Lonchura striata: one gene and its partners. The protein of the gene in region 2 interacts with the protein of the main gene of each other region in a pairwise test. Links are inferred from orthologs where the notes say so. Each region holds a gene or a part of one and is shown on either strand. Other genes may lie near its edges.

Evidence for each region.
Region 1: the proteins of DISC1 (region 2) and TNIK interact in binary tests that used the Homo sapiens proteins (3 or more experiments, as listed by UniProt). The link is inferred for Lonchura striata from reciprocal best matches to the Homo sapiens genes DISC1 and TNIK.
Region 3: the proteins of DISC1 (region 2) and PAFAH1B1 interact in a two-hybrid assay, tested with the Homo sapiens proteins (2 studies listed by BioGRID and IntAct). The link is inferred for Lonchura striata from reciprocal best matches to the Homo sapiens genes DISC1 and PAFAH1B1.
Region 4: the proteins of DISC1 (region 2) and E3 ubiquitin-protein ligase BRE1B interact in binary tests that used the Homo sapiens proteins (3 or more experiments, as listed by UniProt). The link is inferred for Lonchura striata from reciprocal best matches to the Homo sapiens genes DISC1 and RNF40.

The regions. Positions count from the first base shown.
Region 1 is NC_134612.1:22,736,351-22,743,741, reverse strand, and holds the start of TNIK (TRAF2 and NCK-interacting protein kinase), read right to left. Parts: upstream 3,003-7,391; 5' UTR 2,798-3,002; coding exon 2,741-2,797; intron 1-2,740. UniProt on the Homo sapiens protein: Serine/threonine kinase that acts as an essential activator of the Wnt signaling pathway. Recruited to promoters of Wnt target genes and required to activate their expression. May act by phosphorylating TCF4/TCF7L2.
Region 2 is NC_134605.1:43,738,605-43,745,795, reverse strand, and holds the start of DISC1 (disrupted in schizophrenia 1 protein), read right to left. Parts: upstream 3,006-7,191; 5' UTR 2,979-3,005; coding exon 2,903-2,978; intron 2,070-2,902; exon of another isoform or gene 1,987-2,069; intron 1-1,986. UniProt on the Homo sapiens protein: Involved in the regulation of multiple aspects of embryonic and adult neurogenesis. Required for neural progenitor proliferation in the ventrical/subventrical zone during embryonic brain development and in the adult dentate gyrus of the hippocampus.
Region 3 is NC_134622.1:11,367,663-11,374,783, reverse strand, and holds the start of PAFAH1B1 (platelet-activating factor acetylhydrolase IB subunit beta), read right to left. Parts: upstream 3,017-7,121; 5' UTR 2,866-3,016; intron 2,681-2,865; exon of another isoform or gene 2,641-2,680; intron 1-2,640. UniProt on the Homo sapiens protein: Regulatory subunit (beta subunit) of the cytosolic type I platelet-activating factor (PAF) acetylhydrolase (PAF-AH (I)), an enzyme that catalyzes the hydrolyze of the acetyl group at the sn-2 position of PAF and its analogs and participates in PAF inactivation.
Region 4 is NC_134637.1:902,171-909,889, reverse strand, and holds the start of E3 ubiquitin-protein ligase BRE1B, read left to right. Parts: upstream 1-4,715; 5' UTR 4,716-4,749; intron 4,750-7,719. Other genes in the region: helicase SRCAP, read left to right, coding at 77-301, 794-862.

The DNA of each region.
Region 1 (7,391 bases), on a different chromosome or scaffold from region 2:
ATTTCTGGTTTAAGAATCCTTCCTATCCTGGCACACTCAGTCCTCTGCACCCACAGGGGCACTGCTGGGTACCACGGCAATGAGCACGGTGCCCAGTGATGGATAGAAACGTGTCACAGAGAAGGCAGGAGCCAGCCCCAAGTGCACTTACTCGATGCACCAGGCCGTGCATTTTAATCAGAACTCAGTGCTTTGTTCCTGGCCCAGCCTCCAGCACATCAAGCAGATGCACTGCTGCGGTGGAGCCCGACTGTGTGGCCAAAATAAACTCTGCAGTGTGGCAAAAACGGGAGCTCCTGCCACCTCCTATGTCACCTTCCAGCCCAGATCTATAAATCCCACCTCATAAGCCCTTGGGCAGTGGCAAACTGAACTGAATGATGGTGTGCAGGGTTCTGCTTGTGCTCAGCCTTCACAACAGCACGCTGCCATCCTGCAAATACACCTCCCTTCCCTGGGACAGCAGGAGGGAAGCCAAAGCAAAGGACTGGCCAGACTGGCAGGCAGAGTTTGACCTTTCTGACACAGATTTGCCTGTGGCTCGTAAGCCTCAGCCTCCTGGAACATTTCAGTGACTCAAACTCAGAGATAAGTGTCCTGAGCGCTTCCTTTCCCTGCTGCTGGGAACAAATCGCCAGATTTTTGAGTCACTACCTGCTCCCAGCATTTCACAGAGTCACCTCTCACCCCTTTAAACACACAAGCAGCACAAAAGCAACATCTCCTACACCCAGACTCATCTACAAACCCACTGCAAAGTGACATTTCTTTTCTGATACATAAAAATTTTGCAAGGCTTGGGGAATTACTCCTCCCTGCCATGTTTTGTGCTCAGGCAGCAAATTTACTATCGATTTCTGATTCAGACCCCATGGAATGATTCACGCTTCGTGCCCTATCTGCTGAATTTACGACCTTTAACAATTATTCTAAGTGCTGGAGGAGCTTAGTTTAGAAGAAGATCTATTCCCTGGCAAATTAAGCTCCTATTCTTGTCTCGTCTGCAAACCACCACATCTCTCATCATTTACAGGAAAGTGCCACAGCAGGTCTGTCCCCCTGGGAGGGGGCAGAGGGCTGATTTGGCAGCAGCCCCGTGCTGGCAGAACAGTCACTGCTGGGCAGGAGAGCAGGGTTTGCTGTCCCAGCCCGGGGTCAGTCGGGGTTTTGGGTCCCCTTGTCTCCGGTTACCCTGAAATGCCAGCGCTGCTCTGCTCACCGACCAGGAGCTGCCGCTGGGTCTCGGGGGGGAGGGAGGAAGGGAATATACATTTCCTCCTAAAGCGAAAACAAAACCCTGACTGTAGCTGGTGCACATTGCTATTAAAAAGCCACAAACAGGGAAAAAAAAAAAAACAACAAACCAAAAAAAAAAAAAAAACAAAAAAAAAAAAAAACAAAAAAAAAAAAAACAAAACAACTTAAGCACGTCTGGATACGGCTTTAAAGAGAAATCATAACCTAGTTCAAATACAATTCCCAGCACAGATGTTAAATAAAAAAATTAAAAAAAAAAAAAAAACAGAGGGTGGGGAAGAAGGAGAGGGCCCTCTGCTCCCTAAATTATACTGGTCTCCTGAATTAACTCCACTGGCTTCAGCAACCTTTCTCCCTCTCTCCCAGCTTCCACCTAAGAGGGGAAACCAGCTCCAGGTCTGTTTTTAAGGCAGATGGTTCCCCCATTCCAATCTCATCTACACCGTGTATTGCTGAGCAATCATTTACACTATTAATCAACCAGAAACTCACCAGAAAGAAAGTAGGGCAAGTGAATAAAGATAGACTTCTCTTTTTTTTTTTTTTCTTGCACTGAAGCAAATAACATTGCTAAAAATACACTTGTTCAAGTCTTCAGCGGATTTTGCTTGATTTATTTGTCTATGCAGCGGGTTACGAGGAGCAGCCGGGCTGCTGCCTCCCGCAAAAATGCTGTTTCTCTCAATGACTCCCCATGCTCGTTCCCAACGAGCTGTTCTTACGGCCAGGAAGATGGGGAAAAGGAAGAAAGTTACACGAGAAATGGACCAGGGGGGACATCAGGCCACAGCCCACGCCGCGGCTGACACGTCTGACGAGCCTGACATTTCAAGGGTACATGCTGGGCTTCATTTTCCAGGGGGGTGAGGAGGAGGCAGCGCGCAGGGACACCGCGGGAGAGGGATGGAGAGAGGCTGCGGGGCCGGGGCGGGGAAAGCGGGGCTCTGGGGAGCAGCTCCGCAGCCCGGCCCCGCGATCCCCGCGTGTCCGCCTGCCCACGGGGGGATCGCAGCGCGGCGGTGTCCGGGTGGGACCCGCGGACACGCACACACCTGCGGGGGCACGGCGGGCACACACACACACACACACACACACACACACATGTGCGGATGCGCACACCCGCAGATCCGCGCACACATGTGCGGATGCACACACGTGTGGATGCGCGCACACGCGGCGGCGGGCACGCACATGCACGCGCACACGGGTTGTCTTACCCGCATTTACATACGTGCAGGCGCACATCACACACACACACACACACCAAGCACCGCAGACCCCCAGCCCCATCTCCCCGCCATCGCGGGATGGATGGATGGATGCATGCATAGGTGGATGGATGGATGCATGCATGCATAGGTGGGTGGGTGGGTGGATGGATGGATGGATGGATGGATGGATGGATGGATGCATAGATGGATGGGTGGGTGGGAGGGGTGCCGCTCCCGCATGCCTCCCCGCGATCCCCGGCCCTGCGCCTCACCCGCAGCGCCGAGAGGTCTATCTCGTCCAGGCTCCGCGCCGGAGAGTCGCTCGCCATATTTCCGCCGCCGGCCAGGCGGCCCCGCCGCCACCGACCGGGCAGTGGCGGCCGCCGCGGCGCTGGCGCTATTTAACGCCTCTCCTCATGCGGGGCGCCGGGAAGGAGAAGCCGCCGCCGCCGCCCCTGTCCTTCCGCCCGCAGCGCGGCTGCCTAGCGGCGGCCAGGCAGGCAGGGCTCGCCGCGGGCTGCTGCGCCGGGATGGCGGCGGCGGCGGCGCATCGCCGCGCCCGCCCCGCACCGCGCCCGCCCCGCACCGCGCCCGCACGGCCCCGCGCCGCCCCTGTCTGTCACCGCGGGGGCGGCGCCCGACCCGCCGCCAGGGGGCGGCGCCGCGCGGGGGCGGGCAGAGCCCCCTCAGGGCCGGGCGGGCGCCGCGCCGGGACCGCGGCGGTGGCGGCGGAGGGCGAGGGGACGCGGCCGGGGTGGTGGCGGTGGTGGCACCCGCGGAGGGACCCGGAGGGACCCTCAGGGCGTCCGGACCCTCCGGGGTGCGCGCCCAGCGGCGCACAAACGGGCTCGTGCAGCTCGCAGATCCCCCCCGACACTGACAGGCGCAGCGCCCGGGCCGCCTGGGTTCCCCTCACAAGGAGCCCGCAGCGGTGCCTGTCAGGTGCGCCGGGAAAAGCTGCCCAGGTTCAGGTGCTGAGCCCAAATCCTGCCAGGCAGGACGTGGAAAAGCTGCCCAGGTTCAGGTGCTGAGCCCAAATCCTGCCAGGCAGGAGGTGAAAAGCTGCCCACAACCTGCCCAGGTTCAGGTGCTGAGCCCAAATCCTGCCAGGCAGGACGTGGAAAAGCTGCCCAGGTTCAGGTGCTGAGCCCAAATTCTGCCAGGCAGAACATGGAAAAGCTGCCCAGGTTCAGGTGCTGAGCCCAAATCCTGCCAGGCAGGAGGTGGAAAAGCTGCCCAGGTTCAGGTGCTGAGCCCAAATCCTGCCAGGCAGGAGGTGAAAAGCTGCCCAGGTTCAGGTGCTGAGCCCAAATCCTGCCAGGCAGAACATGGAAAAGCTGCCCAGTTTCAGGTGCTGAGCCCAAATCCTGCCAGGCAGGAGGTGGAAAAGCTTCCCAGGTTCAGGTGCTGAGTCCAAATCCTGCCAGGCAGGAGGTGAAAAGCTGCCCAGGTTCAGGTGCTGAGCCCAAATCCTGCCAGGCAGGAGGTGGGAAGCGCCGAGGCCAGAGCAGCAGCCACGCATCCCCCTGCTTGGTGTTCCTCAGATGCTCAGTGGGATCTGGCCCTTTTGCAGATGGATGCGGATGTCACACCCGGGTTTGCTGGCCGGTTGTCGAGCTGTTCCCTCGGCACTCGAGAGCCATCCCAGCACTACCAGCTCCCAGGCTGATCCTAATTGGAATAAGAGATTGATGCTGTGTTTGTAATTGGCCAAACCGCTTCCCAAGCCAGCAATAGCTAGGTAGAGTCAGCTTTTAGTTTTCCTTATTTCCCCTTTTCGGATGTGGTTCCTGCCAAACCAGGTGCCGTATATAAATATATATGTATAAAAAAATCTGTTGCCTTTGAGAGAACCGTATGGAAGCTGTACTTACAACATCAACTTGTGTCAGGAGCTTACAATATGCAGATCTGGGAAGCGGAAACCCTACACATGAGTCAACTGGCAGGCGGATGGGATTTTCTTACACTTTCTGATTGGAGATGTGCTCCAAAAAGTAATAATAAATGGTATTGCAAAGAGTCGTGCAGTTGTGGGGAGGCTGCTGGTGCGGGAGGTGCAGCCTCACCAGGCAGGACTGAGGGACACGGAGGGAAAAAGGCCAGAAGGAGCTGCTGAAACCTCGCAGAAAAGATCAGGATTGGTGCTGCCGCTGCCCTCGGCTGGCTGGGCAGCCCGCACTGCCCGGGGGATTGCATCCCTGCCTTATCACTTACTAATCCTGATTGCAGCGCCGGCGTTTCAGCTTGCCGGGCTGCGAGGGCACAGCAAAATGTGATTTCTTTTTGGTGATGAACTGCCCAAGTCGCACGGGGCTGCACATCACCCGCAGTGGCGGCAGGCTGCCGGGATTTAACCCCTTTTCCCAAGCTACAAATCATCACTCCTTAATATCGTGCACAGTCAATAGCCCTCACTCACATATAAAGAGGTAATTTTGATCTAAATGCTAAACTCAACAAACTCCCCAATCTTTCGTGGTGTTTTTCTAGACCAGATGTTGTCTGTGTCTGTTCCAGCCCAGGATTTGCAATGTTGCGCTTGTAGTTGGGGAGCTGGAAGCAAAACTGCCTGGAAACTGGTAACAAACCAATGCGAGACTTCCTCCTGCCGTCATTGTTCTCAGGCAGAGAAGGGAGGAACAAACAGGATGAGAGAGGATGCTGGCTTGCTCTAATGTGCTTTGCATCCAAGAACACACAGGATTATTTGTGAAAAACATAAGGATTAATATATGCATATATATAGATAGATATGTCTAATCCTGCAAATAGACAGATTGCCCTGATCTCTCAGCACGAGTGCCAAGTCCCAAACTAAGCTGTGATTTAATTACAATCTATCCACTGCCTATAGAGATGGGAAAAATGTAGAGGACCCTCCTATTATCACTGAAATAAGAAATGCATAAAGCAATAGAGGGAAGTGACAGGAAAATCCCAGAGAGTGCTACTGTTTCCAGGCTGCTTGGGGCAAAATTGGAGCCATGGAGGGGAGATGTGCACCCAGTGACCTCTGGAGATGCCAGGGATGCTACATGGGCTGTACTGGTGCCCAGGCAGGCTGCAGGAAAAGCTTAAACTGAGCAGGAAGCTTTTTCCATCAAAAAATTAAATTTGCAATTTGTTACTCTTTTAGTTATGCATTTACCAATCTATCTGTGTCTCTCTGTGCACTGTTGGTTTTTTTTATGCCAGGAGCGTCTAAAGAAACCTTTCAGTTACAGTCACTGTGACTCAAAACAAAGTACTCAGCTGAAGTGGCTCAAAATATTTTGCCGTGAGTAATTTCAGCACAAGATTCAGTTTTTACCTGGCAGGTCCCCCCTGGGCATGGCAGCTGGACCCTGCTGTGTCACACCAGCTCCAGCCAGCGCTGGCACAGCTGTGGGTGAGACGCAGCATGGGCAGGGCACCACCAAGCCAAATAAAGGAACTGAGTTACAACACCCCATCCTTCATGAAGCAATAACCATGGAAGAAGCACACAGCCCTCCCAGCTCAGTCCCCACATCCCTTATCAGCTCCATTTCCATTTCTTCTGCCACATACTGGGATCATTTTGTGACAGGTCATTGTTTTTCTGATTTCATTTCCATTTGGAAAGTGGGCACATGTGAAAATTCCATATTTCCCACAGGCCTTGGTGAGCAATGAGCACCTTAATGACCCAAAGCTCTGCTGTCAGCAGTGGAGGACCCTGAAATAACTATTTTTGATTTACTCATTGAAGGGCATCAGCCCCCATATAAGCTATCCAGGTCATTTGACCTCTGCCTAAAACTAAATTTAATTATCTAACAGTGCCATCGCCGTTAATTATATTGTGAGGGAGTGTATGTAGGATGAATAAATCTAAGTGACACATAAGCCCTTGCCCAATTAGCAACAGCTTCAGGTGCTTTGGGCTTTGGATCATTCTTCAAAAGATCATCAAGATGAGGAATGAAGCAAACAGGGAAGCATGTTTGGGCACCAACATATGATTTATTCCACAATAATTCTGTGACCATGTAGCCCCAGTTTTTCTGGTGTCCTAAGTCCAGGCTGGTTTGCCCCGCTGTTAACCCTTGTAAGACAGTACTTAAAGGACTCTGCCCAAACTAAACAGAGAATGCTGAAAAATTTATACTCCATAAAATGCATAATAATTGGGGTTTAGGCTAACATGCAGCTGTGATAAAAGAGACTCAGAAATGACTGGCTACATGTGTCCTAACCGACATCTATTGATCTCAAATGCACTTTAACTGATTCATTATCACTTACTGATTGCTCGTCCTCCTGCTGATGAGGGTTCCTCTCCAGGGAGAGAAGTGTTTTTCCACTGCATCCTTGGAGCAGAGCAGGACTACATGAGTGAACCCTGCTGCCAGGATTTTTCCTATAGCTGTATACAAAAGAAAAATCCCCTGTAGATAGTGCATCACTCCCTTACTCAAGCATTGTGTAAGTACAAACCTCTGTGATTGGGGAGTAAATGGAAAATCAACAAGGGCTCTTTGGAAAACCCTTCCTCTACATATTCTTATCAGGAAACAGAGTGGTACACTCAAACAGCAAATTCCTGGGACACCACGGGGAAAGAGACAGGGGATGGTTCACTTCCAGGTTAACTCACCCACAGCACTGCAGGGTTCTTCCCCAAAATATTTGAGGGAGCAAAATATATGCTGAGGACCAGCACAGGGTTTTCTTTATGCCCCTTCTGTTGCCATTGCTTTTGTCTTCTCTTAAGGACTGCCACTGTGGACCAAAGCCACCAAGGACACTCCAGCCTGGAAGCCACCCCCAGTATGTTGCCAAAAGCAGCAGGAGTGCTTGCTGTGCCCGTGCCTGGTTTATGTAGCTCAGACTCACTCTGTGCCTGGCCTGAGCTGAAGAAGGCTTCTCCAGGGTAGCAAGCACCCACATCCTTTGAGA
Region 2 (7,191 bases):
AATTCAATTTCCATACAGAAAACTCATGTTTTGCAAACAAAGTATATCCATAGTGGATCCTAGCTTTCTCAGCATCAGTAGCTTGCAGGCTTGATATTTCTCCCTGAAAGCATTTTGCAGGTAAGCTTTTAATGGAATCCACACCTGTATGGTAAAGGAGAAGAAAAAAATTACATGGTGTGTTAAATAGTTAACACTACACAGAATTAAGGAAACACCTTCAAGAAAGGATACTACCATGCTTAAAATAGGAACAGCAGCCTTTGTTCAGTGCCAGAGGGCCAAGTTTTTCCTCGTGTGACTGCTGGTTTACAAAGGGCACATTCATTCCGAATACATAAGGGTTTTGCAGCAGTTTTCCTCCAAGAATATTGAACAGTATTACAACATACCCTGGGTTCAATCCTAATCTAAGCGACACGGCATGAAAGGGCCGTTTTCCGGAAAGAGACACAAGATACTAAGGATGAACTTGGAAATCACTATGGCAACTCCGCAGGTCCCTTCCCCTTCACCTTGGGGGCCAATACTCCAAAGGAGGTAAGAAAACCACTTTCCGCAGGAATCATTAATACACAATATGGCCAAAAGCAGGAAAGGTCACAGCCTGTCTCCGCTCAGTTAGAAAGAGGGGTTCGCTCAAGGAAAGACAAGGTTAAAATGGGAAAAGAAAAAACCATAACTCCCGAGGAGCGCTCGTGAGGTGCCACACACTCGAGTAAATCGCGCTTGAAAGGTCAGCTGGTTCAGTAGCTGTCAAAGGCCCAAGCTACGGCGAGCAAAATAAGCCTAACCAAGTGTGCCTAATTTGTGAACAAAGTCAGAATTAACCTTTAGGGTTTTCGCTTTTGTCAGTACAAAACATTGTTTGCAGTGCTTTCTGTCCACCTGTTCATCACAATTAATTTATCCTGGTGCTAATAAATCCCCTTTTCTTACACAAACCCACTACAATTCCACCAGAAGCAGCTTAGGCCCAAAGTTTTGACTTCACTTTACTGAAGAGAACAAAGGATGATTTATCTTAATTTAAAGAGGGAGGAAGCCAGTGGCAATACAATACCTGCCTCTGACTGTTTTTTAGAGTGCTGCTGCACTATAACCTTCAATGTTGTGCATGAGAATGTGCCATTTTTGGTGCCCAATCTCAAAGAGAGCTATAAAAAAAATTGATAATTCTGATAGTATCAAATACTGGGAAGGAAAAAAAAGACATATTAGATATGGTCGTAACCTCAAGTATACTAAACATTGCACATAAACATTTGGTGGTTCTTGTACATTCATTTCCCATGATCCCAATATTTTAAGTAATCACAAATCTCTAACCTCAGCCATTTTTTTTTCTTTTAAAACAAATATTTCTGTTAAACACCCCTACTTTGCAGTTTCCTAAGGGCCTAGAAGCCCTATGAATAGGGCTTCAACTGGAAAACTGTCAATGCCTTCCCAGAGTGAACCACAACAATTTCACCTTCAGCAATGAGATGGGGAAACATACAACATCATTAAAGGGACTTTAGTATTTAAACACCAAGAAATTTTTTAATAAGTAGAACTCCTCCCGTTTTTAGGAGCTACTCTAAGGCCAATAGCAAATTAGCAAGTAAATGAACCAATACAAAAGGATAAAACAAAAGATAATGCATCCTAGGGGACTTCACTAATTTCTCTGAAAACCACCATTACCTCTAATTGGCAGCAGCACTTGCTGCTATACATTCTGCAACATATTTTATGAAAACCTTTATTATAAAACCTTCTCTGCAGAACTTTAAAATGCTAGCATAATTAATTCAAAAGCTTAGCAAGAAGTTACTCAAGCACGTGTACACAAAGATTAATGTGGATTACCAAAACAGGAATGAGCCATTTTGTATTAAACTGATGGCAAGGATGACTGTAGTGTTTGCAGAAAAGTCTTGGTGGACTCGTGGAGCTGGGAGAACCTCGTACCCCAAATAACCCAAAAGGCAGCAGACATACCTAGTGAGAAATACACCTTTCTTTCCCACTTGTCCTGAGAAAGGTGAAGTGTTTTTTTTTCCAGAATTTCCCAGGGGCTCCAGCCTTTTGCCAGCACCACTGTTGATAAGGAGGGCAGCCCTAGCTTTGACCAGCTGATTGCTGCTGCTCTAAGAAAAAAGGAGAGCAGTTCATCCACCTTATAGGTGATGGTCTTGTAAACTTCATTTCTTTATAAAAGCATATACACACAGAGTGTCCCCTGAGAAGGAAGTTTTCTTTTTCTTCCTTAAGCCAAGACTGTAGACATAACGTGGGTGACTTTTCGAGGAGCACCATTACTTCCCACTTTGTAGTTGGTTATTTAAAAAAATTAAACAAATAAACCATAGCAAATAAACCATCGATGTCTTCCTATCACTATAACTGCGGGCTGAAGTGAAATCAAAGCATCTTATTTTTTGAGTTAAAAAACGATAGCTACGTTATCTCAAAGTCACAAGACCCTTTATTTTACCCTCTCTTAGACTGCATTAACTGTGAAATAAAGCCAACACCACCAGGGGCTTAAAAGATTAAAAAAAAAAAAACAAAAAAAAAAACTAAAGAAATTCTAAAACTTTCAGACTGTGAAATGAAAGATCCGGGTTGTTGTTTTTGTTTTTTTACCGAGAAGGATTAAAAAAAAAAAAAAAAAAGTACATTTTCAGTACATTTTCCCCATACCCAACACGAGGGCGACTCCCCAGAGCTGCTGCTGCTGCTCCCAGCCCGGGGGCAGCATCCAGCCGAGCCGCGCGGTCCCTGCAGCGGGGAGCAGCGCTGCCGGCCCGGCCCCGGCAGGGGCACCCACGGCCCCGCGCGTCCGGGGCTCCTGCGGAGCTCGGCGGCCGGACCCCGCCGCCTCCCGCCTCCCGCGGGGCCCGGCCCCGCTCACCTGCGCCCGCCGCGTCCCCGCCGCCGCCGCGGCGCCGCCTGTCGGTACCGCCCGGCCCGGGCTGCGGCCGCCACATCCCGCCCGGCCCGCAGCCGGCGGAAAGCGGCCCCGGCCCGGCCACTCCCCGCCGGGGGCGGGCTCGAGGCAGCTCCGCCGCCCCGGGGAAGGAGAGGGCGGCGGGCGGGACCGGCTCCGGCTCCGGAGGGCGGCGCGGCGCGGTGCGGTGCGGCGCGGCTGGTCGCACGCACAGCCCCAGGGAGCCCGGTCCTCCAGGCTCCCGCCCGCGCAGCGGTCTCAGGCTGTGCAGGCTCTGTTCCCGCAGGGCAAAGATGGGCGGGAGAGGAAACGGGGAATCACAGAATCGGTCAGATTCTGACCACAGCGGTCCAGGCTCCCTGCTCAAGCAGGGTCATCGTAGAGAACATGGCACAGAATTGCGTCCAGATGGTTCTTGAGTATCCCAGTGAGGGAGACTTCACAACGTCTTCGCACAATCTGTTCCTGTGCCCGCAGAGTGAAGTAGTTCTTCCTGATACTCAAGTGGAATTTCCTGTGCTTTGGTTTCGGCCCATTGCTTCTTGTCCTATCACTCGGCACCACCGAGAAGAACCTGGCTCTGTCCTCTTGGCACCCTCCCTTCAGATACTTAAAAACATGGATGAATTGTCCCCTCTCTGTTATCTCTCTTGAGGCTGAACAGGTTCAGCTCCCTCAGCCTCTCTCAGCCTCTCTCTGGAGCATCATAGGGGAGATGCTCCAGTCCCTTACTCATCTCTGTATCCCTCCACTGATATGCTCCAGGAGCTTCATGTTTTTCTTGTACTGAGGAGCCCAGAACTGGACACAACACTCCAGATGCGCCTCCCCAGGGCTCATTAGAGGGGCAGGATACCCTCCCTTGACCTGCTGGCAATATTCTTCCTAATGCATCCCAGGATTCCATCAGTCTTCTTGTCCATGTGGGTGTGGGCATGTCTCACGAACAGCTTGTTGTCCACCAGGACCTTCAGGTCCTTCTCCATGAGCTCAGATGGAGTTTCTTTCCATCAGCCCCTCACCCATACCTTGGGTTATTCACTCCAAGTGAAAGACACAACCTATGCTACACATAAAAATATATGGCTTCCATCTCACAGGTCCCAGCATAACAACAAATATATGTACCAAATATACTCTATACCAAACATACTCTTGGAAAAGAATTTATTTTCAGGTTTAGGCATACTAGGCATTGCTTGGTCTCAGAGCCATCATGTGACTGTGAGCCCTACTCTGGCACTGCTTTGCATGTCAGATACTGAATTTAGCAAGGCATGTGTGCAGTTATTATTGCATTCATTGGCTTGAAGTAGCCATAAACATCTTGCAAGCAGGACTTAAAGGGATGCTAAAAAAGTTTGCAGATGATCCAAAATTGGGAGGAGCTGTCAACTCCCTTGAAGGCTGGAAAGCCCTGCAGAGAGACCGTGACAAATCAGAGGGCCGGGCAATCACCAACCATATGAAGTTCAACCAGGGAAAGTGCTGTACTCCACACCTGGGATGGAGCAACCCTGGATGTATGGACAGACTGGGGAATTAGGTGCTGGAAGGCAATGCCATGGAAAGGGACCTGGAGGTCCTGGTTGATGACAAGTTGAACATGAGCCAGCAGTCTTGTGTGAGTGCTGGGCACTACAATAAAACAATGATATAAAATGCTTAGAGAGTGTCCAGAGGAGAGCAACAACGATGATGAAGGTCCTTGAGGGGAAGACATATGAGGAGTGGCTGAGGACACTTTGTTCAGCCTGGAGAAAAGGAGGCTGAAGGGAGACCTCACTGCAGCTACAGCTCCCTTGTGAGGGGAAGAGGAGGAACAGGCACTGATCTCTTCTCTGTGGTGACAGTGACAGGACATGAGGGAATGGCCTGAAGTTGTGTCAGGGGAGGTTTAGGCTGAATATTAGGAAAAAATTCTTCACCAAGAGGGTCTTTGGGCACCGGAACAGACTCCCCAGGGAAGTGGTCACAGCATCAGCATGACAGAGTTCAAGAAGCATTTGGACAACACTCTCAGGCACATGATGTGATTCTTGGGACTGTCCTGTGCAGGGCCAGAAGCTGGACTTGATGACCCTTGTAGGTCCCTTCCAACTCAGAATATTGTGTGATATTGTGAATATTATGTATGTATTTTCACTGTTTTTGTAGGGCTCCAGATAATTTATGTCACAGAGCTTTTTCATTTTGTTGAGAGGTACCAACTTTTATATATATATATGTATGGGGTTTTGTTGGTACAGAGGCAATGACGAGAATCAGGGATGTTTTAGCTGAGCAGTGCTTACACTGCTTCTTGAACTGCCCTGCCAGTGAGCAGGCTGGGGTATACAAGAAGATGGGAAGGGACACAGCTGGGACACCCTGACAACAACCCAAGGGATATTCCAAACCATATGTCCACATGATGTCATGCCCAACAATAACAGTTGGGGGAAGGAGGAGGAAGAGAGTACATTCAAATTTATGGCATTTTTCTTCCAAATTCACTGTTATGCATGATGTAGCCTTGGTTTCCTGGGGATGACTGAATGCCTGCCTGCCCACCCATGGGAAGTGGTAAAGAATTCCTTGTTACATATCATTGTAATAACAGGCATTTCTGCTAAAATCCCCTTTCCTGTTTTGTAATTTAGGTAAGTTTAGTCCTCCACCATTTCCAGTGTATCTTCTCCTCCCTAGTTAACACATATATCATCTTTTGCTATCCCTGGTATTTCTCTACTGACAGTTTTATTTCTATTGTTATTCTTAATTATGAGCTTTATACAAGCTTATGAGTACCCACTGACTACAGCTTTTATTAACTTTGCTAAAGTGGTACCTGCTTCACTCACAGATCATCATATCCACCATATTAATCATGTACATGAAATCAATGTTTTCCAGACGGCCTCCATCCATCCTAGCCTTCAAGAATGCTTCTTCCTTCTCAGATGCAGGAAATGCAATTGTAAGTTAACTACACAAGGAAGTTTTCACAACATTCAGAAAAGCTGCTAAAAAAACCGGGTTTATATAACAACTGTCATAATACTGATTTTCTCTAGTTTGAGTCCATTAACTAAGAAATACAGGACATGCTAAGAGAGTTTTGACCTCTTGCTCCAGTCTGTGCCCTTCCTGACTTGTGAGAGAAGACAACAAGCAGCTGTGCCTTACATGCCAAAAATAGCCACCCATCCTTCTTCATCCTTCAGCCTTGCTGCAGTGCATCTGATTCAGGTGATGTCAGTGCTGGTTCCCATCATTCAGAAAGAAACTGGTTGTAAAAGGCAGCTCTGTGGGTGCAGACAAAGGGCCCATCTAGCACAGCCTTGCTCCCAGCTCAAAGCCAGGGCAGCTCTCTCAGCAAGAGCAGGAACAAGGAAGAGCAGGAACAAGACAGCACCCACAGCACTTCCCCTTTGGACTGTGCCACCCTCCTCTGATCAATGTGTGCTCAGGGGGTTCCTCAGCTCAGTGAGGTTTGTTGAGTCAGTAGCCTGCTGTGGTTCCCAGGCTCTCCAAGGGTTTGCCCAGCTCCACCTTGAGCCTGCTTCAGCTTTTGACCCACAGAGCATCCACGAGTCAGGGGCTGCCCAAGGCACCAGCTCTTACTCTGAGCCTGGCTATGGCTCCCTGCCGTTGTGAGCTCCTGGATTTTTGTGCTTGAAAAAATATTTTTTCCCAAAGCATCTGTGCCTCCGATGATTTCCTGTGTTAACTCATAATGTAGTCCATTTTCCAAACTGTGCAGTGCTAAACTAGTCAGACTGATCTAGTACACAGTCCCTCTATAATTTTTTTCTGTTTCTGCTTTCTGGGGTGAAGGGACTAAGTAAGGTTTGCTATGGATTTCTGCAGTGGCATCTTCATGTTTCCAGTTCTGTTCTGTGTTCCTTCACAAATGGTCTGTAACATTTGATTGAGTGCAGCCACACACTTAACTGATGTTTTCTGATATGTAATTAGTGCCACAGTTTCCTTCTCAGTGGCGGTGGTAATTTCAGAGCTTTTCATCTTATATGAGAGGCTAGGAATTTTTCTTCCTGGTAGGTGCTGATTCAATTCACACAGTGAATTTCATCTGTGGTTTGATTGCCCACAAGGCAACCTCACGAGGTCCAAGTTCTTTGCATCCAGCTCTTGTTCATGCTGCTTCAAGTAACTCAGCATCATCAGCAGACTTGTTTCAGATGCTTATATGGTGAACAGGAGGGGGTCAAGAGACACTAGTCATCACAAAGCTACCAAAAGGTACATAG
Region 3 (7,121 bases), on a different chromosome or scaffold from region 2:
GCAAGACAGAGCCTGTGTGCAGCCAGAAAGGAACTGTTGATGCCTTTTGCTTCTGTAGAACCCAAATGAACAAGTTACTCCTGTAGAAAAAGTGACTGCCATCATTTCAAGGACAAAAATCAAATAAAGCTGTTAAGATAGAAAGAGTTTTGCTGGGTTCTTCATTGGCCTTAGCCTGGATACACATTAGACTCAGGTATTTGGCTCATGCAGCCACTGAATCCTGGAACATCTACTCCAAGTGAATGAACTAGAAATAATGCAGAAACCACTGCCCCTTAATTTAATTTTGGGCATACTAAGAGAAGCACAGTCTCTTTCTTGTGGGCCCATCTCCTCTCACAAACTGCACTCCAGAACTGAGACCCCCATGAAAAAGTAAAGCCTGCTTCAGACCTTGCTCCAATCAGCACTAAAATCAGATGGGAATGCCACGAGGCACATGTGGAATAGGAGAGCACTTCCATAGGCAGCCCTTCCTAGATGCTTCCTCCAATCCCTACTGTATTCCCCAAATCCTTTGTTCAAATGCTTTTCCTACACAACTTTAAGCAGTAGTGCCCAAGGGGGACAGCAATGCTCTTACAGAGCTACAGTGCTCAAAAGGACTTCCAAAATCCTGAGACGTAATTTTACAAGAGCTTGGCACATGACGAAGGGCAATGCAATCCAGTCTGTACACTGACAGCAGTCACTCTACTGTGGTCACCAGAGAAACCAGGGATTGTCTTTTTCTGTGTGCCCACCCATAATCCGCTCTAACCAAGAAGTTCCATGAACAAATAACAGCATGAAGCCACAATACAGAGGCTTCTCTAGATTCCAGAAAATCTTGTGTGTACAACACTGGCAGAAAAATTGCAATTCTTATCTAAAATGTAAATAAAATCAATTCAACAAGTGCATATCTGAGTGGATAAATTGAAGCGGTTATCAGACAAAAAAAATCCGGCTTTGCAACAGTGACTGGTCACTTCTCACTGCCAGACAAATCAAAATCCACCCTGCAGAAAAATCGGTCTCAGAACAGAATGTGAGATTTGTTTCATTTCCGAAGCTTCCTGCACCATTAGATTCTTCCCTAAAGAAGAGACTTCATTGTTACGGCAATTAGTATTCCTCGGCAAAGGGAGGAAAAAAAAGCTCTGAAAGGGTAATCGAGCCATTTCGCAGCTTTGCCTCCTTACTCCACCCAGTCTCTTCCCTGTTCAATGGCTGCTCACAGCATCCACAAACATGGGAACAGCAACAGAAACACACAAAAACGAGATGCCCGAGAACAAGCCGGATATTTGCAATGCATCTCACAGTTTTAAAATATTTTCTTTGTTTAGTTCCCCAACATAATTTTCCTATTTAACAAAATTACTCTAAGGGCAAATAACAATCTGACAGCAGACCCTCCCTCTCCCGAAAACCAGCAAATGCTGCACAATCATTTACAAAATGATCATCACTGAACGGAGGTTCTTTAACCAACACCTCCTAATGCCATGAACAATACTGTCATAGGAACATATACTTCAGAGAATCACCACAAAAATACATAATTTAGGCAGGTCAATATGCCCAAACATTTAATTATATTAAAACGGTGTTTATTAAAGATTTTTAATATAGCTTAGATTAACCTTCCCGCATTCCTAGTAGGCAATTCATTATGAAAGGACTTGACCTACACCAACCAAGCCCACTGCTGCAGCACTATTGAAATGGTTTGAGTGATATCATGGCAAAGAAAGGGAAGGTGTCACATTATTATTGGTATTAAAGGTCAAGTTTAATTGCATCCACCTTAAACAAAAAAATAAAATTAAAAAAAAAAAAACTCACGCCCACAGAACTGAACAAACCCCAAACTTTTCAAAGGAGGCACCACTCCCACCCCCCAACTTCCATCAAAAGCCCTGCCTGCCTATAACCTCCTGCTGAAACAAAACCTCGCGAGCAGTAATTAATACAGGATTAAAGCAATATTTTAAGGTTTATCACGGGAAGCCTGTGCACCTGCAGGCATCCAGGCAGTGATATGACCCTCAGAAGGAGAGATTAGACCTCCCTCCCCCGTTTTACTGCAGCTGGTTCTGAAGGTCTGAGCCACCTCCTATCGCTGCTGCCCTGCTGAGCACTGCAGGAAAACTGGGGATGCGAGACAAATTCTGAAACAACACCTACTCCTCTCGGTGGATTATTAATTCTCGCCTTGTTTTCGGTGCCTCGGCCGCGCTGGCCGTTTGGGCCATCGCCCGACGGCCGGCCCTGCCCGGGGAGGGTGACAGGGGGAACCCCCGGCAGGAACCGGGGAGGGATGCTCGGGGTGCCCTCCGCGCACACAGCAGGCCCATCGTCCCTGAAGGCGATTTTATCGCTCTTTACCCCGGCCCATCGCCTTCTCCCGGTATTTGCTAAGTCACGGACGGAGCGGCGCGGCCCGCGGGGGGGGGACACGGGCCCGGCGGCGGCTCTGCACCCGCCCCACCGCTCCCACCGGGCCCTGCTTTCCTGCAGAGTCACGGCGGGAGCGGGGCCCGCGGGGAGCGCAGGAGCCGCGCCCCGGCCCGCAGAGCCCCCGCACCGAGCCGGGGGAGGACACCGGGTCGGCCCCCCCGCCGCCCCCCGCCCCGCCCGGTCCCTCCTCACCAACGGGCGCGGCCGCCATTTTGAGAGCGAGGAGAGGGGGGAGCGGGCGAGGGCGGGGAGCGGAGAGGAGGGGGGAGCGGAGAGGAAAGCGGCGGCCGCTCGTGCCGCGGGCCGGGACACCCCGCGGGCCGGGGGGAGCGGCGGGCCCCGGCCTCACCGAGCCCCGCCGGCGCCGCCGCCTCGCTGACCTGCGCGGCTCCGGCGCCACCCGCCTGTCCCACTCACCGGCGCGGCGTCCCGGTGCGGGGTCAGGGTGCCGGTGCGGAGTGGCGGTCCCGGTGCGGGGGCTCCGGTGCGCGGTCCCGGCGCTCGGGGACGCTCCGCTCGCTCCGCGCTGTCAGAGGCGCCGCGGCCGCCGGGAGGGAGGGCGGGAGCGGCGCGGCCGCCGCGGCGCTGCGCATGCGCGGCCGGGGGCGGGGACGGCCGCTCGCCGCCATCTTGGGCGGCCGAGGCGCCGGGTGCGTGTCCCGGCGTGCCGCGCGCGCCCCTCCCGACGTGCACTGCGCGGCCGCCCGGCTGAGGGGGCGGCCCGGGGACACCGGGGGAGCCGGGAATAGCGGGGATAAAGGGGGTTTTCCGGGAGAACCGGGAATAGCGGGGGTTTTCCGGGACAGCGGGAGAACCGGGAATAGCGGGGATAAAGGGGGTTTTCCAGGAGAACCGGGAATAGCGGGGGTTTTCCGGGACACACCGAGAGCACCGGGCACAGGCTACGAAGGGTCAGGCACGCCGGGGCAGCAGCAGTGGCACCGGGCTCGCTGGCTGTCCCGAGCACCGGGAAGAAGAGGCACCGCGGGTACAGCGCATCGCCCCCGGCCTCCCGCGGCACCGGGCACTGTAGTGCTTTCCTAGTGTCCCTTCCCGGGAATGCCTTCCCAGGACAGTTCTGTTCTAGTGAGTGACCTTGTCCCGCAGGTCTGGATTTGCCAGAGTTGAGAGAAACGTTCGGACCTTTCGTGTCCATCACCTCCGTGTGACGGGAGCCCTGGGGGCTCCATGTGCTGCTCCCAGTGCCCCTTCACAGGGTCAGTGGAGAAACACTGGGAACTGAATGTTCTCATTATCCACAAACCCCGCTTAGTGAAATCTCAAAATGTCCTTTATTTAGTATGTCAAAATGGTAGTTCCTCGTGGTAAACTGAGGCACAGACCACTGCTGCTTTAACCCGTACGCTCACAAGAGGTGACACAGCAGAGTCTTGGCACTGCCTGTCCCAGCTCCTGTGTGGCCAGCACAGCCAGGCAGCTCTGTGCAGCAGTTCTCCCATCCCTTTGCAGTTCAGAGTCCCCGTGCTCCGCAGTGGCCCACTGTCAGGCGTTGTATCGCACTAGGAGTTTATTTGTAGTTGTTTTGCAGTCCCCGTGCTCCACAGTGGCCGGTGTCAGGGGCAGCAGTGCTTGCCCAGGAACTCTGCACAGCCCGGCGTGGTGAGTGCTGCAGCTGCGCTGGCAGAGGCCCAGGCAGGGAACCTGCTGCTGGCCCACAATGCCAGAGCCCTGCAGGCCAGGGACAGCGACCAGAGCCACCTCCAGCACTGGCAGCATGGCAGCAATGCGGTGAGAGTGGGCCCACACAGCTCTCTGAAATGCTCATTCAAGGGAAGAGGTAGTTCCATGTGGAAAATTACCTAGATAGCAAAAACTGAAAGAAACTTGAAGTGACACTGCAAACTTCATAATCAAATGCTGTATGGTCTTGTTACTCCTGTGAGTAGCAGTGGAGATTACCTGTGTAACAGTTACCTCATGGATCTCTGTGTTTGTACGCAGAGCACCTGAGGGTGCTGGTGTCAGCCTTGCTTGTGCTGGGCCTTGGCCCCTCTCTTGCTCTTGTTTGTTTTATATAGCAGTAGACAGACAGGGCTGTGCAAACCCCCAACATCACACAGGCACTTGTCAGGGTTATTTCATAGACAACATAAGAAATGGGACTGAAATTTAGGGGAGGGATTTCAAATGGTTGCCCAAATTACCTTGGCTTTACTTCCATCTACTTGCAAAGCAGACAAAATTGTTTTGGCAACCTCAAAATTCTAATATTTCAAGTATTTTGAGATGCATATTCAAGTGATAATTAGCATCTACCCAAAAAATTAAATCTGGTTTGCAGGGATTACTGAATTTTCCAAAGACTGTTAGGACACTGGTATTTTATTCTCCTTTTGCAGTTGGTCTTCCTTGTAATATCGTTGCTTGATACTAGAGTAGAAAAGAAGTTCCAGCTGCCAGCATAGCTGAACGGTGAGGAGTCTCAGAGCCCATTTTTTTGGTAATTTCCTTGATTGCCGCCATGTACCTTAATAATAACAAACACGGACCCTGCGCCTCAGTGGGGACAGGCACAGCTCCTTGCACAGCTCCTTCTGATCTCCACTTCAGTTTTTCCCTCAGAATATTCCTGAAGGTAATGTTTGCAGCTTGCATAGCTCTGCTGCAGTGTGAGCCAGGCTTCTTCAGGGGAGTTTTTGCCATCTGGGGTGGCACGCACAGCAATAGCTACTACAGCTGAGATTATGATTCCAAACGTTCCATCAGCCCTTGCCACACACTTCCTGCTAAACATGGAAACTGGATTCATTGATAATTCATATGTTGCCTCTGAATGAAAGTTGTCATTAATATTCTACGCATGTATATATTTGTGTAGCAAAGCACCTGCAGTGACTGTACCACTGCAGCCAACTCATGTACACGTTTCACGTCCGTTGCGGTGCCTGACCTACAAAAGATGTGAGCTGTTACAGTCACAGAGCTCTCGAAGAGAAAGAGTTGCATGAAAATGCCTCCACAGATTTGAACTGAAAGATCAGTGCAGCTTTAGGTCGAGACTGAATTCCAGTGACACAAATACTGTCATTACAAGGTGCCTAAGCACATACCAAAGGAAATTAACTTGTAGCTATGTCTTGCAATTCAATTTAGTGAGTCAATGGGCATGTCTACCTGTGTCATTAACCCTGTCACTGGGATAAATCACAAGAAATGAGCATTTTTTCTTCTTTTTGTTCACTAGTGAATAGTGACTTCTCTGTGGCTCAAACAAGACTCTAGAACTGCAATTTTCCACTTTTTTGTTCCTTTAGATGCAAAAGTTTTAGAAATCTCACTCCCAGTACTCATGTGGGTTTTCCTCTGCATTATAAACATAAGGAAGAGAGCTGTGTCCCCCACTCTATATGACATTCTCAATAGCATTAAAAAGAAGATAAACTAATCCTACCTCTGAGGTTCCTCTGTGGGGAACCTTGGCCCTGTGCAAAGTCTTCCCTTGTTGCAGTAAAATGTTTCACTGAAGTGAATCCCTTTTCTAATTTAGTATGAGGGAAATTAAAATTAAATTTTGAGCAAGTGTTCCTGTTTTCCTGCTAAAAGTAGCAATGCCTGTTTTCAGTCCATTTTGTGTCTCACCTGGATGCTGATCACATAGAGCTTATAAAGAGTTTATGCTACTTTTGATGATGTTGTGTTTCTGTATCTCAATTCAATAGTCTTTGATAGACCAATACTATTCTGATGATACTGCTGTCACATGGTTCCTTCTTTAAATTCACATGTTAGTTCTTTTCCTAGAGCCAAAGGATGAAAGTCCAGGTAGAAGCAGCATTTCAACCACTTATCAGTTCTGTTTCCACTGGTGTTCCCTGCCAGGCCCTTATCCATGCCTGACTGCTCACCCTGGAGGTGCAGCATTCCCTGGCAGCCGTGGGCCTGACTCCTGTGCTAGTCCTGGGTTATCTGCTGGTTCCTCCATGTTTTTGTGAGGTTGTAATTGGTGTCTGCTTGGCCTCACATTCACCTTCTCTGTCCCCATACAGAGAGTGGGATGTTAAAAATATCCTTTTTCTGGGAGACTGTGAAAGCAAGTGTTGCCTATAATAAATTTGGTAAAGTTTTTAACATAGTTTTAATTGCAAGTATTTATTGTCAAATGAGAAGATGTGTTCTGCTCCCAGAATTTTAAAATCTGTGGGAATTATGTTGTTCAAGGTTAAATATCCTTACTTAAAAACATTTATTCAATAGTTATAGTGAATTATTTCTTATACCTTCAACATGTTTTTCAGGGTTATAATGAAGGCCAGCAACATGCACATTCCAGTTAAAGGGATGGTAAAGTAGTGCAGAGATAATAAAGCATCAACCTTTAAATCTAATTGGAGCATGCACTTTTGCCTGCAAAAGCCGCACATAGTTCTCATACTAATGCTGCAGCTGAACATGCAGATCAAGTCATCATAGACTGCTGTAGCTAACCAGGATAATTTGTTCATTAGTACATGATTTGTGTAGAAAACTGCTGCAAAGATTCATGCAAGCATTTGGGATTGGTTGCATCGCTCCAGATGTGCTGCACAGCTGCAGTTCAGCTGCAATTAGCAGTTGATGGACTCTAGCACAAGCCTTGCTGTACCTCAGCATCCCTTCTCCACTCAAGCTTGCTCCTAACATTGGAGAAGTGTAGCCTGTGCTCCATGGGTGCT
Region 4 (7,719 bases), on a different chromosome or scaffold from region 2:
CCTCCCCGCGGGGGGCGGGGCGCGGAGGCGCCGCCGCCGCCATCTTGGCGCCCGCCGGCGCCGCCCCCGCCGCGAGGACCCCAAAGCGGCGGCGGCGCCGCCGCGGAAACGGCGGCGGGGGCGGCCGCCCAAGATGGCGTCGCCGGAGCGCGAGGGCGGGGGAGGGGACGGGGAGGGGTCGCCCGGCCCCTCCCCGGCAGCGGCGGCCATGCCGCGGTCCACCCGCGCCCGCCCCGGCGCCCCCCTGGCCCCGCCGCTGCAGCGGGAGCCGCGGCGGCGCCCCCGGCAAGATGGCGGCCGGGTGGGCGTGGCTTCGGGCGGAGGGGGCGGGGCCAAGCGGAAGGAGCCCCTCCCCCCGCGCCCGGCCAAGCGGCGCAGGACCGGGGGGGGAGGGGCCGGCGGAGGCCCCGCCCACCGGAGGGGGAGGAAAAGGGGGCGGGGTCCCCCCGCGGCCCCGCCCCGCCGGACGCAGCCCCCCCGGCGCTGCGCCGCCCCCCCCGCGCAGGGAGGGGGAGGGGCGGCCCCCCCGGACCCCCCCGGTGGGGCGGGGGCGGGGGGGAGGGGGAGGAAGGGGAGGACGTGAGGGGCGCGGCAAGATGGCGGCAAGGGGGGGAGAGACGGGGGTGGGTGGTGGTGGGGGAGGGGCAAGATGGCCGGCGGTGGGGTGATGTAAAATGGCTGATGGTGGGGGTGAGACAAAATGGCTGACGGTGGGGGTGAGACAAAATGGCTGACAGTGGGGTGAAACAAAATGGCCGACAGTGGGGGTGACACAAAATGGCTGACCGGAAAGGGATACAAAATGGCCGCCAGTGGGGGTGAAACAAAATGGCCAAAAGTGGGGGTGAAACAAGATGGCTGACGGTAAGCATGAGACAAAATGGCCGCCGCTTGGGGTGAGACAAAATGGCTGACAGTGGGAGTGATGCAAAATGGCTGAGAGGGAAAAGATTCAAAATGGCCGCCAGTGTGGGTGACACAAAATGGCTGACGGTGGGAGTGAAACAAATTGGCTGATAGTGGAAGTGAAACAAAATGGCCGACAGTGGGGGTGACACAAAATGGCTGACAGGGAAGGGATACAAAATGGCCGCCGGCCGCCTGGATGTGGTCATGTGATTTGTGGGGGATTTAAATGTGGCTGACATGGCGGCCATGTTGATCAGTCCCAGTGTGGCTGGTGGGGTGACCTTTGATTGACCCCAATATGGCTGACACAGTGATCTTCGCTCCCAATATGGCCGACACTTGACCTTTGGTTGACCTTAATATGGCAGACACTTGACCTCTGATTGACCCCAATATGGCAGACACCTGACCTCTGATTGACCCCAATATGGCTGACACTTGACCTTTAAATTATCCCAATATGGCCGACATGATGACCTCTGACTGACCCGAATATGGCTGACGTGGTGACCTCTGACCCCAACATGGCTGACAGTGACCTTTGTTTGACCCCAATATGGCTGACACTTGACCTTTGGTTGACCCTAATATGGCTGCCATGCAAGGGGGCGTGGTCTCAAAATGGCCGCCGGGGTGACCTCTCAGTGACCCCAAGATGGCCGCCACCGTCGATCCAAGATGGCAGCCCGCGCGCGTCCGTGATGTCACTGCTGGAGGCCATCTTGGCTTGGGTGACGTCATTGCTGGCAGCCATTTTGAACCTGGCGGCCATCTTGTTTTCTGGCAGCCATCTTGAACACCAACCCCTAAAGGTGGTGGCCATCTTGCCTCCTGGCGGCCATCTTGACCTCACTTTGACCCAACCTCCCGGCAGCCATCTTGACTCTGGCCATCACGTGACCCGGCGGCCATCTTGATTGTGAGATGCAAAAATCTTGGCAGCCATTTTGTCTCCCGGTGGCCATCTTGGCTCCCACCATCTTCATCAATGCCTGGCCACCATTTTGATTCCTGGTGGCCATCTTGACTGGGAAGATGCAGGAACTTGGCGGCCATCTTGACTCTGTCACATGATCCGGCGGCCATCTTGACTGCTCGTCGATCTCGACTCCCAGCAGCCATTTTGACTTCCACCAACTTTTGTGAGTTCTGGCGGCCATCTTGGTTCCTGGTGGCCATCTTCACTGTAAACTCGGCGGCCATGTTAAATCCTGGCGGCCATCTTGGCCATGAGAAGATCGAAGACTTGGCAGCCATTTTGAATCCTGGCGGCCATCTTATCTCTGACCAACGTGTGACCTGGCGGCCATCTTGGCCATGAACTGACAGCGAAAACTGGCGGCCATCTTGGCCTCCCCAGCATCTGTAACTGCCGGCAGCCATATTGAATCCTGGTGGCCATCTTGAATGCGAAACAACCACAAAACCTGGCGGCCATCTTAACTCCCATGACTCCTGGCAGCCATTTTGAATCCTGGCGGCCATCTTAACTCATGTGATGCCCAGAAGGCATCTTGAATCCTGGTGGCCATCTTGACTGCGAGACGACCACAAAACACGGCGGCCATCTTGCCTCCTGTGACGCCCGGCAGCCATCTTGAATCCTGGCAGCCATCTTGACTTATGTGATGCCCAGCAGCCATTTTGAATCCTGGCAGCCATCTTGACTGCGACACAATTACACAACCTGGCGGCCATCTTAACTCCCATGACTCCCAGCAGCCATTTTGATTCCTGGCGGCCATCTTGACTACGACACAACCACAAAACCCAGCTGCCATCTTGAATCCTGGTGGCCGTCTTGCCTCCCGTGACTCCCGGCAGCCATTTTGAATCCTGGTGGCCATCTTGACTATGAGAAGACCACAAAACCCGGCGGCCATCTTGATTCCTGGTGGCCATCTTGCCTCCCGTGACTCCCGGCAGCCGTTTTGAATCCCGGCGGCCATCTTGCATCCCGGCGGCCATCTTGCTTCAGGACCGTGCCCAGCAGAGTTGGGGGTGCGGGGTGGGGGAGGGGCGTTTCCCCTCCCCCCCGGATATGTAAATTTGGTTCCTTTCGAACCCGATCTATGCAAATGTGCTGGGCCGGGGGGCGGGGCCGGGATTTTTGGGGGGGGAGCGGCGGTCGAGGCTCTTCCTGCCGTGAATAAAAAAAGGTTCAAAATTCCCAAGTTTTGGGGTCCCCCCCGGGTCAGTTTTTTGGGGTGGGGGAATTTTGGGGGTCCCTGAGGAGTTTTGGGGTCCCTGAAGAAATTTTGGGGGTCCCAGAGAGATTTTGGGGTTTTTTTAGGAATTCGGGGAATTTTGGGGGTCCCAGAGGAGTTTTGGGGGTCCCTGACAGATTTTGGGGAACTTTTAGGAATTTGGGGGTCCCAGAGAGATTTTGGCGATCTTTTAGGAATTTGGGGGGTGCCAGAGAGATTTTGGGGTTTTTTTAGGAATTTGGGGAATTTTGGGGGTCCCTGAGGAATTTTGGGGGTCCCAGAGGAGTTTTGGGGGTCCCTGACAGATTTTGGGGAACTTTTAGGAATTTGGGGAATTTTGGGGTCCCAGAGAGATTTTGGCGATCTTTTAAGAATTTGGGGGGTCCCAGAGAGATTTTGGGAGTCCCCAGGGGATCCCAGAGAGATTTTGGGGATGTTTTAAAAATTTGGGGGATTTTGGGGGTCCAGGAACAGATTTTGGGGTTCTTTTAAAGTTGGACAGAATTTCTGGTATTTTTGGGGGGTCCCTGAGGAGTTTCAGGGGTCCCAGACAGATTTTGGGGGTCCCAGACAGATTTTGGGGCTCTTTTAGGAATTTTGGATATTTTGGGGGTTCCAGAGGATTTTTTGGAGTCCCTGAAGAAATTCTGGGGGGTCCCCAGGGGATCTCAAAAATATTTTGGGGATCTTTTAGGAATTTGGGGAATTTTGGGGGTTCCAGAGGATTTTTGGGGGTCCCTGAAGAGATTTTGGGGGTCCCCAGGGGATCCCAGAGAGATTGTGGGGATCTTTTAGGAATTGGGGGAATTTTGTGGGATTTGGGTGGAATTTGGGGGGAGTTGAGGAAAATTTTTGGGGATTTTTGAGATTTAGGGAGATTTCGGGGGTCTCAAAGGGATTTTGGGGAGATTTTGGGGGGTCCTGATGGAATTTTGGGGTTTTCGGATGGATTTTGGGGGGCTGGTGAAATTTGGGCATCCTCGGGGGAATTTTTGGGGGTCCCCGGAGAGAAAATTTGGGAAATTTGGGGGCAATTGAGGAATTTTGGGCGGTTTTGGGATCTTTGGGGGAATTTTGGGGTCCCAGAGGATTTTGGGGTCCCTAAGAGGATTTTGGGAGGTTATTTTTGCCTTGGACAGATTTTGGAGGTTCCCAGAGGAGTTTTTGGGGTCATTTTTTGGGATTTTCGGATTTTTGGGGGGGGTCCCCGAAGGAATTTTGGGGTTTATTTTGGGGATTTGAGGATTTTTGGGTGCTCTCAGAGGTCCTGGAATGTCTCCAAGCGGTCTTGAAGGGCTCTGAGTGTCCCCAAAAGCCCCGGGGGTCCCCAAAATTTTCGAGTATCCCAAAAAATCTCAAAAAACTCCAAAAAATCCCCGAAAAACCCCCAAAAATCCCTTCGGTGGGCCCCACCGGCGCCATCGCCGCTTTAAGAGTTCCCCCGTTACCCCTTTAAGAGCCGCGGGCCGCTCCTTTTCCCGCCCTTTCGCCGTTACCGCGGCAACGGGGGCGTGGCTTAGGCGGCTCGACCAATCAGAACGCGTAGAGGCGGGGGTGGGGCGTGGCCAGCGCGGCTCAGCCAATCAGCGCGGGCGGTGGGCGTGGCCTGGGCGGCTGCGCGGCGCTGACTCCGGTGAGATCCGAGGGGGGGGGCGGGACGGGCGCGGAAAAAAACCCAAAAAAACCCCAAAAAAACCCAAAAAAGCCCCAAAATCGTCGGAATTCGACCCAAAATCGCCGCGGATTCCGTGGGGAGCAGCCCAGGACCCCCCGGGGCTCTCCCGGGCCGCTCCCGGCCCGCCCTGAGGCCGCCGCCGCCATTTTGGGGCTCCGGCGGCGCCGCGCTCCCAAAGGGCCGAAAATGCCCCAAATTCACCCGAAATTCACCCAAAATTCACCCGAAATTCACCCAAAATCCCCAAAATTCACCCGAAATTCACCCGAAATTCAGCCGAAATGCCCCAAATTCACCCGAAATGCCCCAAATTCACCCGAAATTCACCCAAAATTCACCCAAAATGCCCCAAATTCACCCGAAATGCCCCAAATTCACCCGAAATTCACCCAAAATGCCCAAAATTCACCCAAAATCCCCATAATTCACCCGAAATTCACCAGAAATGCCCAAAATTCACTCGAAATTCACCCAAAATGCCCCAAATTCACCCGAAATTCACCCAAAATTCACCCGAAATTCACCCGAAATGCCCAAAATTCACCCGAAATTCACCCGAAATTCACCCCAAATGCCCCAAATTCACCCGAAATTCACCCAAAATGCCCCAAATTCACCCAAAATCCCCATAATTCACCCGAAATTCACCCAAAATGTCCAAATTCTAACCAAAACTCTCAAATTTCACTCAAAATTCAACCGAAATGCCCAAAATTCACCCGAAATGCCCAAAATTCACCCGAAATTCACCCCAAATGCCTCAAATTCACCCAAAATTCCCCAAATTCACCCGAAATTCACCCGAAATGCCCCAAATTCACCCAAAATATACCCAAAATGTCCAAATTCTTCCCAAAATTCACCATAAATGCCCAAAATTCACCCGAAATTCACCCAAAATGCCCAAAATTCACCCGAAATTCACCCCAAATGTCCAAATTCTAACCAAAATTCTCAAATTTCACTCAAAATTCACCCAAAATGCCCAAAATTCACCCGAAATTTACCCAAAATGCCCAAAATTTACCCAAAATGCCCAAAATTCACCACAAATGCCCCCAATTCACCCAAAATATACCCAAAATGTCCAAATTCTTCCCAAAATTCACCATAAATGCCCAAAATTCACCCGAAATTCACCATAAATGCCCAAAATTCACCCAAAATTAACCCGAAATTCACCCAAAATGCCCTAAATTCACCCGAAATATACCCAAAATGTCCAAATTCTACCCAAAATTCACCGGAAATTCACTCAAAATTCACACAAAATGCTCAAATTTCACCCAAAATTCACCGAAAATGTCCCAAAATTCAAAAATTCAGCCAAAATGCGCCAAATTCCACCCAAAATCCACCCAAAACCCCCAAAATTCACCGAAAATGTCCCAAATTTCACCCAAAATGCACAAAATTCACCCAAAATTCACCCAAAATGCCCAAAATTTACCCAAAATGCCCAAAATTCACACAAAATCCCCAAAATTCACCCAAAATGCTCAAATTTCACCCAAAATTCACCCGAAATGCTTAAAATTCACCCAAAATGTCCCAAAATTCATCTAAAACCCACCCAAAATGCTCAAGTTTCACCTAAAATTCACTCAAAATGCTAAAATTCACCCAAAATCCCAAAAAATCCCCCCAAATTCCCCGAATCCCCCTAAAATCCCAAAATCAACTTAAATCTCCCCAAAATCCCGCTAAATCCCCCCAAAATTCCCCCAAATCCCTCAAAAATTCTCCAAATAATTTCAAACCCCCCCAAATTCCCCCAAAATTCCCCAAATCCCCCCAAAATCACCTTAAATACCCCAAAGTACCCCTAAATTCTCCCAAAAATCCCTTAATCTCCCCCAAAATCCCCCAAACTCCCCCAAAATCCCATCCAACCCCCCAAAATCTCCACAAAATCCCACCAAATCCCCCAAAAATTCCCCCCAAACCCCAAAATTCCCCCAAAATTCTCCAAAACACTTTAAACCCCCCCAAAATTCCCCAAATCGCCCCAAAATCACCTTAAACCCCCCCAAAATCACCTTAAACTCCCCAAAATTCTCCCAAAATCCCCTCAAATCCCCCCAAAATCTCCCAAAATCATTTTAACCTCCCCCCAAAATCTCCCCAAATCCCCCCAAAATTCCCCCAAATCCCCCCAAAATCACCTTAAACGCCCCCAAATCCTCCCAAAATCACCTTAAACTCCCCAAAATCACCTTAAACTGCCCCAAATTCTCCCAAAATCACCTGAAATCCCCCCAGACCCCTCACCTGTGCCCTCACCTGTGCCCAGGTGCCCATGGCGGGGGTCGGCGCCAAGCGGGGAGCCCCAAAATCCCCCCAAAATCACCTTAAATCCTCCCAAAATCACCTTAAACTCCCCCAAATTCTCCCAAAATCCCCTCAAATCCCCCCAAAATCTCCCAAAATCACCTTAACCCCCCCCAAAATCCCCTCAAATTCCCCCCAAAATCATTTTAAACCCCCCCAAAATCTCCCCAAATCCCCCCCAAATCCCCTCAAAATCACCTTAAATTCCCCCGAAATCCCGCAAATCTCTTGAAAATCCCCCCAAATTCTCCCAAAATCACCTTAAACCCCCCCAAAATCACCTGAAATCCCCCCAAATTCTCCCCAAAATCACCTTAAACTCCCCCAAAATCCTCCCCAAATCACCTTAAACTCCCCCAAATTCTCCCAAAATCACCTTAAATCCCCCCAAATCTCTCACCTGTGCCCTCACCTGTGCCCAGGTGCCCATGGCGGGGGTCGGCGCCAAGCGGGGACCCCCAAAATCCTCCCAAAATCACCTTAAATCCTCCCAAAATCACCTTAAACTCCCCCAAAATCACCTTAAATCCCCCCAAAATCACCTGAAATCCCCCCCAAATCCCCCCAGATCCCTCACCTGTGGCCTCACCTGTGCCC